2 linked regions of the Daphnia pulex genome follow. The main gene of each other region encodes a partner of the protein of the gene in region 2 in a complex. Links are inferred from orthologs where the notes say so. Each region holds a gene or a part of one and is shown on either strand. Other genes may lie near its edges.

What was found.
Region 1: vacuolar protein sorting-associated protein 51 homolog (region 2) and vacuolar protein sorting-associated protein 52 homolog share a complex: the UniProt entries of both Homo sapiens proteins name them as parts of the endosome-associated retrograde protein (EARP) complex. The link is inferred for Daphnia pulex from reciprocal best matches to the Homo sapiens genes VPS51 and VPS52.

What each region holds. Positions count from the first base shown.
Region 1 is NC_060027.1:4,798,531-4,804,755, reverse strand, and holds vacuolar protein sorting-associated protein 52 homolog, read right to left. Parts: upstream 3,940-6,225; 5' UTR 3,924-3,939; coding exon 3,789-3,923; intron 3,737-3,788; coding exon 3,468-3,736; intron 3,400-3,467; coding exon 3,285-3,399; intron 3,200-3,284; coding exon 3,063-3,199; intron 2,999-3,062; coding exon 2,896-2,998; intron 2,806-2,895; coding exon 2,628-2,805; intron 2,558-2,627; coding exon 2,304-2,557; intron 2,233-2,303; coding exon 2,078-2,232; intron 2,015-2,077; coding exon 1,924-2,014; intron 1,866-1,923; coding exon 1,817-1,865; intron 1,751-1,816; coding exon 1,575-1,750; intron 1,501-1,574; coding exon 1,323-1,500; intron 1,235-1,322; coding exon 969-1,234; 3' UTR 921-968; downstream 1-920. Other genes in the region: uncharacterized protein LOC124207589, read right to left, coding at 1-230; DIS3-like exonuclease 2, read left to right, coding at 4,562-4,681, 4,751-4,804, 4,883-5,305, 5,371-5,628, 5,691-5,923, 5,992-6,162, 6,224-6,225. UniProt on the Homo sapiens protein: Acts as a component of the GARP complex that is involved in retrograde transport from early and late endosomes to the trans-Golgi network (TGN).
Region 2 is NC_060021.1:635,546-641,944, forward strand, and holds the start of vacuolar protein sorting-associated protein 51 homolog, read right to left. Parts: upstream 3,602-6,399; 5' UTR 3,405-3,601; intron 2,712-3,404; 5' UTR 2,649-2,711; coding exon 2,481-2,648; intron 2,408-2,480; coding exon 2,171-2,407; intron 2,107-2,170; coding exon 1,987-2,106; intron 1,924-1,986; coding exon 1,783-1,923; intron 1,682-1,782; coding exon 1,410-1,681; intron 1,338-1,409; coding exon 1,288-1,337; intron 1,221-1,287; coding exon 895-1,220; intron 831-894; coding exon 390-830; intron 317-389; coding exon 135-316; intron 52-134; coding exon 1-51. Other genes in the region: cap-specific mRNA (nucleoside-2'-O-)-methyltransferase 1-like, read left to right, coding at 4,050-4,083, 4,238-4,548, 4,613-4,768, 4,827-4,994, 5,063-5,230, 5,294-5,486, 5,578-5,693, 5,760-5,856 and 3 more. UniProt on the Homo sapiens protein: Acts as a component of the GARP complex that is involved in retrograde transport from early and late endosomes to the trans-Golgi network (TGN).

The sequences.
Region 1 (6,225 bases), on a different chromosome or scaffold from region 2:
GTCACATTATCGAAATTGTCGAACATTGACTTGTCGTGTGATTCCGTATCGACAGGCTTCTTTTCGGCGCGTTTCTTTTCAGCGATAGCTGACGTGTACAGTTGTCCAACAGCAGGCGCAGAGATTTTTACTGGATTTGTGAAATAGATTGTTGTAAAGAAGATGGTGGCGATAAATAAAAATATATATAGGCTACGGGATTTGAAAAATTTCGAGGAAGTTAAAACCATTTTCAAACTGAAAATGTATTCGGTATTAGTAAAGAATAAACAATTTTTCTAAGAAAAAGAATCTAACCACTGAGTTGAGCCAACCGATTTGAAGTACCCTACGACGGAGAGTATCTCGTCTGAATGCGTACTAAATGTTTACATAAGACATGTTATCATCGTTATGACGTTATCATGCTGCATACGCTCCAAGTGGATTTGCAAGAACAAATTTTTCTTTAAAGTTAAAAGTATAACATAAGTTTGTATTCTATATAGCATAACTAAAGCACTGAATCAACACCCCATCTTTTAGTTATTTGCGGTTCCTCGGCTGATAATGAGAATTTATGTACTAAAACTAGTGACTTTAAAGAATTTAACTTAAACTCTACCGGTACCAGGAGTATAGGACCAAACTGCACGTCCCGTTTCTCCCACGGCATACAAAGCACGAATTTTATCTATACGTACGCCTGATAAGGATTGCTGTTCGGTTTTTGGTGACGTTTACTAACGTGCACTCTACTGGCATTTCAAGAGCACACTTTCTGTCTCATTAACTTTAAGAAAGTTCTACATTACTCAGAACCATTCAAGCTTTAATTCTAAAATCGATAACATTAAAATAACGAACGTTTTTTTTTAAATATTATGAATTCCCTTTAACCTAGTCAGCGATCAATATTCACGAGTCATTCCCATTTTAACTAATATTAATACATGTATTCAACAAATCAGGCTTCAAATCTTTAAAATTTAGAAAGCTGGCTTGTACCTTCTGACTTCTACCATTAATTGATGAATGTTAATCAAATCAGCACGAGCAGGAACGTTGCGGAATGGATGTTGGGTTAGGATTTTTTGGAAACGGTGGTAGTATTCGACGAGTTGAGTCAACGTCGCTTGTAGAATGTTGGTTCCGTTTTTGAAATTCGGAAACAGATTTAAGATTTCTTTATTAATCTCGTCCAAAGATTTCTTCCATCCAGCCATGAAAGCGTTTATGGTTTGCGTGGCCCGACCTTTAAGCCGATTAAAGAGAAACGGAACAATTCTATATATCGAGAGACAAAACTAATAATAAAATTAAAGACTTTAAAAAATGCATACGTTCTTCGTTCCGCAACGCTTCGTTAAGCCCTCGAGTAAGCATGACTTCGCAGTCTTTGACGAATCGGACGAGTCCCTCAAAATGGAAAAAAAGAATTTCTTCGACAAATTCTGAAATTCTAGCAGACAGCAATTCCTTACACCGAGCGGCTTCACGACTTTCTTCTCGGTTGCGCTCCTTAATAAATAGACAACAAGTTTTAATACATAAGCTGAGAAACTCGGTAAAATACTAAAATCTAGTTATATTACGGTCATCACACTCAGCATCAGGTCGTAGTTGTTGATTAGGGCTACTAATTGATCCTTTCGTTTAGTAAAGGCTGCAGCAAGGCGCAACGTGAAGCCTTCAACCTCCTCTTGCATGGTCGAAAGTAAATGGTGTAGGCGTGGAGTCCAGTCCATGGCTGAAGTTATACTGTTATGCTCTTTTTATACAAAATAAAGAAAATTACGACACAAGAATTAATGCAATAGGAAAAAAAGTGTTTAACCGTGAATCGCAGAAATGGCTGAAGTATACTCGGCGTATCGTCGCACTACCTATTAATGTTTTTTCGTTAGTTTAGAAATTTAATCAAAGTATGTTTAAGGTAAATACATAGTGTGGTCGCGTATCAATGTTTGAATAAAGTCTAGATGGATCGCAGTCACGGACACTCTGAATGTTTGCTTGTACCAAATATTCAAATCTAAGAAATATGGCAAATATTAAAGAAAAAAGTCAACAAATCATTTAAATTTAACAGTATTACCTAGGCCATAACGTGGAGACGAGAGATTCGTAATAAAAATCTAAAGCTGGAACGGCTCTCTTGTGGCAAAGATATTGCAAACGTTGGACCATTTGGATGCAAAGAAAAAGGGCAAGTGAGTCATAACAAGACGAAACATATTCTTCCACAAATTTCTAAAAAGAAAAAAAAAACAAATGACGCTAGAAAGGAATAATATGCTGCGCATTGTGTATAGTAAACTTACCATATAAATAGTGCAGGTCTTCCCCATTACTTCTTGAAATAGCTCCATGGCAGGGGCTCTTTCAACGTGGAAAAATTCACAGAGGAACAAATACTCGCGGCAAGCATTATCGGCCAATGCGTAGTGTTGAGATCGGAAAACGATTTCATACGAATATTTCGTTTCACCTTTATGGCCAGCGCTGGTACCAGTGGCAGCTGCGTGAGGAACTAGAACAGGGGCTTCTAAGTTTGTAACAACTTCAATTCGAGTTCCTATTATTTTAAAAAAAGAAGACAGCAAAAAATAAGCAAATATATTGCAAGAAAGAATTTTTGGGGTTACCTAAGGTAAAAACCGTAGATTTACTGCTAGAACTACGCCCACTAGGAGCGGCTCTTCCAAACAAGGACCTTGCGGCGGCAGCAGCAGCCGCACCTAACGATGCATCTTCGGAAGCAAGAACATCATCTTTATTAACACTATTTGAATCCACAAGTTTCAGTAATCGCGTGGAGTAGCTCTAGAACAAGAAACAATTGAGAATATAGACGAAAAAATCATAATTTATATCCAAACAAATTATTATTATTTCTTAAATCAAAACACGAACCTTAAAATAAGAGAAATATAGCTTTGACATTGTCTGCACATAGTCTTGCCTCACTTCATAAGCTATTTCAGGCTCTTGGGTTATGAGAAAGTGGTAAAAATTCCTAGTGAAACAAAACATAAATGTGAATTGTATTTGGAATCCAGAAAGAAAACCCAGAGGCTTACTTGTGTTTTAGAAGAGAATTCTGTGGTAGTTGATAATTAGCAAGTGGCCTTCTAAGTTGTTGTAGTTTCAAAAGCAGAAACTGCCTAAGTCTTTCAACCACCTTAATCCTTAATGCACCTAGGACAGGAACCACATCCTTAAAATGCATAAAATATTAGGTAGAAAATATTAGACATTTTTTTTAAATCACAAACTCAAACTATATGGTTAGGCCTACTCACTTGAGCAGCTCTACTGCACCTCTGATGGTGATCACCACTCAAAGCCAACTTTGCTTGAAGTATTATCAACTGTTCAGAGAACGAAGGCTCTGTCACTGGAGTTTCAAGTAGATGTCTATTCAAGAATGTTAAATTTTTAAAAATTACAACACATAGACAAATAGATGTACTTTGTAATTTTACCTTATCAGGGCTTCAGGAATTACCAAATCATCAATTATTTGTCCTGCCAAGGATCTAGCTGCCTGTCGATTAGACAAACGTAATCCCAACTGAGCTGATTGGTGCTGGAGTTGTAAAATATCACTGCTTAAACCACCTAGTTGAGATCTGAAGGTACTTAGAAGCACTTCCATTCTTTCAAGAGCGACATCACATTGGGTGAACTGTGAATGAAGCTGTGCTAATGATGTTCCCTGATTGACATAATCTTGCACAGACACTAGTTCAACCTGGAAAGAGGAAGTTGGTTAGCTGAACTCATAACATGTCAAAAATGTATACCTCTTGTAATTGTTGTTCTACTTGTTGTGAATACTGTCTCAAATCTACACCCGAATTCAGAGCTTCTTTTATTATGCTGTCCTTGAGACTAACTTTTAAATCCATTTTTATCTGAGAGTCGCAATGATCTTCCATGGCTGTTAAATGTTTTTAATCAGCTTTAACGGCTTTAACCGAAATCTGACACAAACTTGTTATTGCGGCTTGTCTGGAATCGTGACGAAATCTCTCAGCTGTTTGCAGACGACCAATATCGTCTGCTTGTTGTCAAAGAGATTGTGCAAGAGTAAGATGCAAAAATTGTGAATATCTCCCAGAGATTAGGGTTTCCATTAAAGTTATCTTTCTCATTTGAAAATATTAGCGTCAGCCGAATATCCCTGAATTTCGAAACTTTTATTTTTTTTACTCAAATTTGAAGCAACGATTGAAGTCTAGATAGTACGGCTATTTTTTGCACGACAAGAGTGAGAATCTTTGCTCATTGCATGCTTCCAAGAAAGTAAAACATTTTGTGGAAGAGTTTTCGTCAACTGTTAATCAGGTTGTAATCTGACGAGTGTTGAGATTTATTATGACTTTCAAACCTCTGACAAAGGTTTTAACTCAATATTTTTAGCACTGGTCAGTAACCAGTTTATAAGGGTTCCAACAGAGGGAAAGCAATAACTGACATTTGTATACTGATCTGCCAATTTGCATTTATTCCTACATTTTCTTAATTACATTGATGATAAGTTCTATACATAATCTGCCCATACAAGAAATTAATCATGGCAAAGTCAATTGGTAAAAACTCCACACCACAGAGACCCAATCGTAGTAAAACTTTTGAAAATTATTGGGACCAAAAGGATGTTGAAGAAGGATTACGGAATGAGTCCCTTTTTGAAGTAGGTTTTGGTTATATTCAGAATTAATTGATGTAATGTTTTAACTGTCTGTGTTTGTTGTATTTATAGGGTGTTTTAAGAATCAATCCTAAAAACTATAAAGAGGCATACATTTCTGCACCTGTAAGTATTGCTTGCAAATTTGTTTTCACAAGTTTTGATATTCAAAAGAACTAACTGAACAAATCTCAATGGTATTAGGATGGAACCGAAGATTTTCTGATTGAAGGAATTTTGCACAGAAACAGAGCACTTAATGGAGATATTGTTGTTTGTGAGATGCTGCCAACACAAACTGCAAACAAAGAATGTGAAAAAAGTTTTGCTGAGAGTCCGAGTTCACCAAACATTCAGCAAAACGAACAGCCTATTACTCCAAAAAATTTGGCTGCAGCCAGTGAACTCAAAGAAAATATTTCAAAAGTGACTGAAAAGGAAGTTCAGTGTGTGGATGCAGATTTAGCCGCTTCACGTGAAGTTAGGGGCGCGAAAACCCTGGGACCAAAAAATAGGAAAAAGCCGAAGAAATTGATGGAAAATGTTTCAAATTTAAATCTTGGTGCAGAATTGCAAGACAAAAGCGGTCTAAAAACCCCTTCAACAATGGCCGAAAATGTAACTAACGTAAATACTTTATTTTTTTTTATGTACTTGAAGATAATAACTTAGAAACTCATTGCTTTCTTTAGTTGGATAATCCTGCGGAAGAGCAGAGAAAAAGAACTCGCAGGCCAAGAAAGAAGAAAAATGTCATTGTTGAAAATCTCACCGCACAATTAAGCGCATCATGTACAATTGAGGATTCTTTAACGAAGACTACCACCGTTCAAGTAGAAACTTTAAGCGTAGTTTTACAGAATAAATCACACATAAATACGGCTGGAACAATTGATGAAAATAGTCAACAGAACCCAAATATTGTCAATACCCCAAGAAAAATTGCCAAGGTAATTTCGTCATTTTCATGAAGTGTTTTAAAATGTTTTAAATTATTGCTTCTAATTGACAGGTTGTATTCATCAAAGAGCTAAAGCACTCAAGGTGTGCTATTGGCAGTTTGAGACAATGGCCTTACGGTCAATCCGGACCATTACCGAGTTGGATTTTGTTCGCACCCAAAGACCACCGTATCCCTCGTTTGAAAATTCCGTTTGCGCCAGAACTCGCTAGTTGCTTATTACAACCCAATATGCTCTATTTAGCTCGTATAGATTCGTGGGAAGATGTCAATCATCCATTAGGGTAATTAAGGATTTTATTACTTCATATTTTTAAGCGTTGTGATTTATAGTTTCATTTTCTTTCTCTAGATCGCTCTGTTATTTTATTGGTAAATCGGGTGATATCGAAGCAGAGACAATAGCTCTTCTACTCGAACACGAGGTTGACTATGGTGATTTTCCCCAAGAAGTCTTCGATGACCTGCCTTCACTCCCATGGAGTATCCCAACAGAAGAAATTAAAAAGCGTCGAGACTTCAGGTTAGTTAACACATTTCATCCTCATTTTCAATTTGCTATAATTTTTTTTTCCCCTTAATAGAC
Region 2 (6,399 bases):
TGAGAAGGACCCAATGATGACCAAGATGATTTTTGTTGCATTCTGGAGCTACTGTTAAGTGTAATTAATACAGAAAAAAAAAGAAAAATAATCCTAAAACTTTGTAAATCGTATTCATTTGAAATAATTCAAACCTGTGATGTGTTCGGCGGGAAGAATCTGAGCTCCTTTCTTTTCTTGATCCTTCTTCGTACAGTTGAGCTGCATGGGAATCTACTCGACTTATCTCTTCCAACACACGCTTGATGACAGGTCTAACGCCACGAGGTTCACTAGCGGTTAACCAATCGCGAGAATCCATCGACTTACGAATCATCTTCCAAGCAAAAATAAAGCGGTGAACGCTATTGCATAACTATCCCATAACCAACATTAGCAAACACACTCACCTGAACGAGAACGTGACTTTCACTTTGAACATAACTTTGCAAAAGCGACTGTGAAGTTTGTTTGAAGTCGAGAGTTATAACAGATATCGGAGTCAGATGGTCTCCTTGAAAACCGACTGGAATGTCAAACTGTTCCTCTATTAAAGACAACTGCAAATCACACAAATTTACGTTAAAATTCTGAAGAGATATTTTGTTTGAATTCAATTCAATTACCAAGGATTGAGCCAAATTTTGACTAAAATCGATTGCCACCCGAGAGAGGACAAGAATTAGAGTCGGAGACGCGCTATCTTTCCCCGTTACGTTGCTCAGATTTGCTAACATAGTGGAAAGTTTACTCAACGACTGTACTAATACTTCTTCCCGTACGTAACGTCGACCAAATGTCTGACGGAATTGAGAATCTTGAGAAAAAGTAACGTGATTTCCTACAAAGGCCTAAATAAAAAATAAATGTTGAATTTTAACGGGTATAAAATGACACAGAACCTTACGATAATACCGTTAGAGCAACAAAAGCACGATGAATGTGTTCCACGAGAGCCCCTTCAATAAATTTGACCGAACCGTGTGGCTGATTATCGTTATTCCAGGAATCACGCCAGCCTTGTAGTTCACTTGTCCATTTGATAACAAGAGCGTCGGCTGTTCGATGTGAAATTATTCGAGCAATTTCAGTAATGAGAGTGAAGCTCCATTGCTTATCCACCAGTAATAGTCGCTGAACGGCCAATAGACGACGATGAAATTTATCCAAAGCCGCAACTACTGACAAACAGCAGGCTTCACTTATCTCGAATCCGATGATTTCGACAATTTTACTTTCCACTACAGGGACGAAAAGGAAATTTTATGACATGAGCTAATTTCTAGGGTGAAATATATAGCTCCTTACCTATTGGGCAAAGTTGATTAATAACATCCGTGGCCATGCTATTCATCCCCCTGTTAATTCAACGTATTATGATGAAAACGCAAAAAATTTAAACCATAAAATCAATAAAAAGTAAAACATACTCATTATGTTTCGATATGGTTGAAGGGAAAATGTTGTTGAAGGTTGCAATGGTAAGAGCAACGTTATTCAATGCTGTATTGCAGCATTTTTCAATGAATATGAGGACCACTTCTCCATTATTTTCACCAGACCACACATATGAGGATAGATCTTCCAAATCTTTTTCTAACCTCACTTTATTGATTTCAAGAAATTCTCTTGCAAGGTCAGTGGAAGATTCACCTAGTTTGCATAAAAGAGATGCAGATTCTTCTAGTTCCTGGGAAGTTACCTATGAATTCCATGAACATGTCATGTAAAATTCCACAATAGACATTTTGGTTAGTTTCTTATTATCTTACTTTCCAACATAATATTTTTTTTACAGCTTACCTCAGCTCTGCTGAATTGCACCTTTAGGCATTTCCTGAGTGTTTCAACAATTTCTTTGCAATCTGATTGGATTCCACTAAAAGAAGGATGATCTCCAAAATCTTGAAGAACTTGCTCAGATTTTGCATAATACTTAACAGCCTAAACAAGAAACATTATAGTTTAATACAGGAAATATAGACAGATAATGTCAATGAAACAAACCAATGAATAATTCTTTTCTTCTACACATGTTTTCAGCTTGTTGGGAAGATCAAACAAAAATTGCAAATTTTTTAGCAGTTCGTGAATGTTTGAAAGCTTTGTTATTTGTTGGCGCCGATCCTAAAAAGACAGGGTCATTATTATTAAAAATTTAATCAACTCTAAACTCAAATATTTCACCAACCTGTAAATTTGAAGATATATTGTTGGCAAATGTTGCAATATGAGACATGTCTTGAACTAACTTCTCCATTTCATCTTCCATAGTTTTGAAATCACTTTTCATTTGGCGGATGGTATCAGTGGCAAGGATAAATTTATTATAATTTTCATAAACCAAAGTTTGCATTTCTGAATCAAGTGATTGAATTTCACGAACAAGTTCCTGTTCTTTATCTATAAGTTGCTTTAAGCTGGTTTCCTATTGAAAAACATCCAAGCACATAAAAGTTTTATTTTATTATTTGGCAAAATAAGAAATAGAATATGATTACCTGAACCAGTTTGTCAACATAGGCATCAGCATTAAAGTGCTTTCCATCCACGTCAAAAAGGTTTTCTACATCCTTTTCTTCTGTTATCCCATAGTATTGAGAAAGAAGATTGTTTCTTTTTCTTTTATCGTTTTCATTTAGTTCTTTACTCATTTTGACGTTTTTCATTGGCACTGTTCACCAACTGATTAGTGATTACACATACCGCACATACATTTCTTTAGTTGTAACCACAGACTAAGAGGGTAAAGACCACGAACGGCTATAAACCCCTTGAAGCGATGCTCGTCCTATGCCGTATGGTGGCGCGTCGAGCACACAAAACGAAAGCCATTATTTTTCCTCTTTCCCTACTGATTAGAGTCTTCACACACCGTAAGTTTATAATTGAACCATTAACATATCAATAGTGATGTTTTGTGTAAATATAGCTTAGATATCTCCCATGTTGTGGGAATTTTTTTAAATTTCTATGTGATGTCTAGATACAATCCATAAATTCCTTTATTAAACCCCCTTTTTGCCCATTTTCAGGCCCAGGAAACAGCGTTTCAAGATTTTCTGAAATGGGCCTGAAAATCGTGAAACGCTGTTTCCTGGGCCTGAAAATGGGCAAAAAGGGGGTTTAATAAAGGAATTTATAGATTGTATCTAGACATCACATAGAAATTTAAAAAAATTCCCACAACATGGGAGATATCTAAGCTATATTTACACAAAACATCACTATTGATATGTTAATGGTTTAATTATAAACTTACGGTGTGTGAAGACTCTAATCAGTAGGGAAAGAGGAAAAATAATGGCTTTCGTTTTGTGTGCTCGACGCGCCACCATACGGCATAGGACGAGCATCGCTTCAAGCATCCCTCTTTAGCCCTATCCCTGATCGTAGTCTTTACCCTCTTAGTCTGTGGTTGTAACTGCAAATCGAATGGTTGGGGATTGGATAGCGTTAATGTAAGTTTTTGACGTTTCGCGAGCTGATGTCAGAATGTCTTAACGCTTCAAGTCTCAAACCGCCAACCCAAGGCATAAAAATAACAGGTAAGAAATTATGACAGGCCGGCTTGCTTTAGGTTTTGGATATGCAGTCTGCAGAGAGCTGCTGGCTGATTAGCTCATTACATTACACAATAATACCACCACACTAACAGCTGACCCCACCTTATCTGCTGCCCTCTATGTACTGATACTAAACTCAAAATATTTTCATATCAGCCAATAAAAATGAAAGACCCAGACTGTAGCAGACATCGCTACAGATATCAGATTATGCTAGCGTGAGCAAGAACGAGCGGTGTTTACTTTCTTCCGTTCGGTCATTCGATCGTTTTATTAAATCATTCGTCAGACATTTTTTTTTGTGTATTTTCAAGATGCTTGCATTTTGACTTCTATAGCCACATGTCAATGCGTACGTTTAATTCTGGTGAGTCATATATAAATCATGGAAATCAACTTTTGGAAGCTTTTGGCTTTTGAATTAACTTAAAAATTTGGAAACGTTATATTATTAGGAACGACGTCAGTCATCAAATAGTCTACACAACTACAAAACGCTAAACAATGGCTTCGCAAGGAAAAATAACATCACTGAGTGGTTAGTATGAGACGCTGTTTAAATTTTTTTATAGAAAAAAGTTGGTTTATCTTCAGCAATAATTAACCTAGCTTGAATAAATTGGTGGAACCCGTTTTGCAACTAATGGGTTATATATATATAATATAAGTAATTTCCTGCAAAATTTCTACAGATTCCAGTTCAGATGATGATAGTTACAGACCTCCTTTGAAAAAACCAAACACACAGTATTATAATAATACAGGAGAAGTTAACTCAAGAAAGAAACTAAATGACATTGAAACATGTGAACGTAGCACTGTCATTGTTAGCCCATCCAAAAGTAATGCTGATGGAGGATATGGGTTTAATGCACCATCCAGTAGTCAAGATTCTGATTCTAGTGATGATGATCAGCCTATCATGCCTTCTGTACATAAAACACTCATCAAACCTAAATCTGCTGCTGCTCCAGTCATAAATCATAAAGCCACAGCAATGATGGTCAGTTTAATATTCTTACAGTGCATACTATGTGGCTGCTAATAGATTTCTGAACTACTTAAAGGCTAAAATGGGTTGGGCTAAAGGAACTGGACTTGGTAAGAAATCCCAAGGTATGACACAGCCCATCGAAGTCTCTAAACAACGCGGAAGAAGAGGATTGGGTTTGCAGATAAAAGGATTGGAAGCTGAAGATGTTGAATGGGACTCAAGTAGAGAGGTTGTTAATGTCTACATTTATCTTGATTATTTCATTCATTCATTCTGTTGTCTTCTAGACTGTTGTAGTGGAAGAAGAGATTTCATGGCTTCATCTAGATTCCACTCCTGCACCTACTTTGCCAGAGTTAAAAAATTGGGTAAAAGAGGGAACCAAAAAATTAACAATTGATGATGAGACAACATTTTGTAGCAGCGACATTTTAAAACAAGTTCTTCAGTGCAAAGTAACTTAATTTAGGATGATTAATGTCATTATTAAATATTTACATTCATGTTCTTTGCTCTTTTCAAGTCGATATTTGATGTGTTGGAAGAAGAAGAACTAAGGAAAGCACGCACCCGCTCTAATCCATTTGAAACTATTCGGGGAGCTTTTTTTCTTAACAGAGCGGCGATGAAGATGGCAAATATGGATGCTGTTTTTGATTTTATGTTTACTGATCCTAGAAACGAAGATGGGGTAAGTTTTGTACATTGGTAAAGCAGAATTTTACTTTGTGATTTTGAGTGAAATTCTTTACAGACCCCAGTTCTTGGTCCGAACGAATTACTTTATTTTGCTGACGTTTGCGCTGGCCCAGGAGGATTTTCTGAATACATACTGTGGCGAAAAAAATGGGAAGCCAAGGGTTTCGGCTTCACTCTAAAGAGCTCCAACGATTTCAAGTTGGAAGATTTCCATGCCGCCCCTTGCGAATGTTTTGAACCCCATTATGGTAAAGAAAAGTGTTATAATTTTAATTTAAAAAAAATCAGATCAATCAATTGAAATCAGTAGTCAGTTATAGTGAATCATTTTTATATTAGGTGTTGGTGGAGTTGAAGGAAACGGAGATGTGTATAATCCGGAAAACATCCGTGAATTCCAACGTTTTGTTATGGCTCAAACCGGAGAAGGCGTACATTTCATGATGGCCGACGGAGTAAGCTTTTCTATGTTCCCACCTAGTCTGTATGTGTAACTTATCTTTTTCTTTTCAACACTTTAGGGATTTTCTGTTGAAGGGCAAGAAAATCTTCAAGAAATTTTGTCAAAACGACTTTATCTTTGCCAATTCCTTGTTGCTTTGTCTATAGTTCGAACAGGTATTTTATTCCTACGTTTTCATGTGTGTAGTTTATTTATCGAAGAATTCTGTTCATAGGTGGCCACTTTGTGTGTAAGTTATTTGATTTGTTTACACCATTTAGCGCTGGGTTAGTATACTTGATGTATCGTTCCTTTAAACAAATTTCCATCCATAAACCAAATACTTCCCGACCGGCCAATTCGGAAAGGTAAATTTATTAGTTTGCGACATTGAGCGCTATTAAATATCATTTTTCCAAATAGTTATTTTAATATTTTTTTTTGAATTCCTGGTAGATATATAATTTGCAAGTGGAAAAGAAGTGACACTCAAGATGTCGAGACTTACCTGTTTGAAATCAATCGTCGCCTTGATAAGCTTAGTAATTCTAAAACGGAAACGGATGTCATGCATATTGTACCATTGGATTTGATGACAAACCATCATGACTTTTACAATTATTTGTTTGAGTCCAACAATGATTTGGGTTTGATTTATTGCCTGGTATTAAAATATGCAACATTTACTTCATGTATGTATAATGTTCAATAGGTGAAAG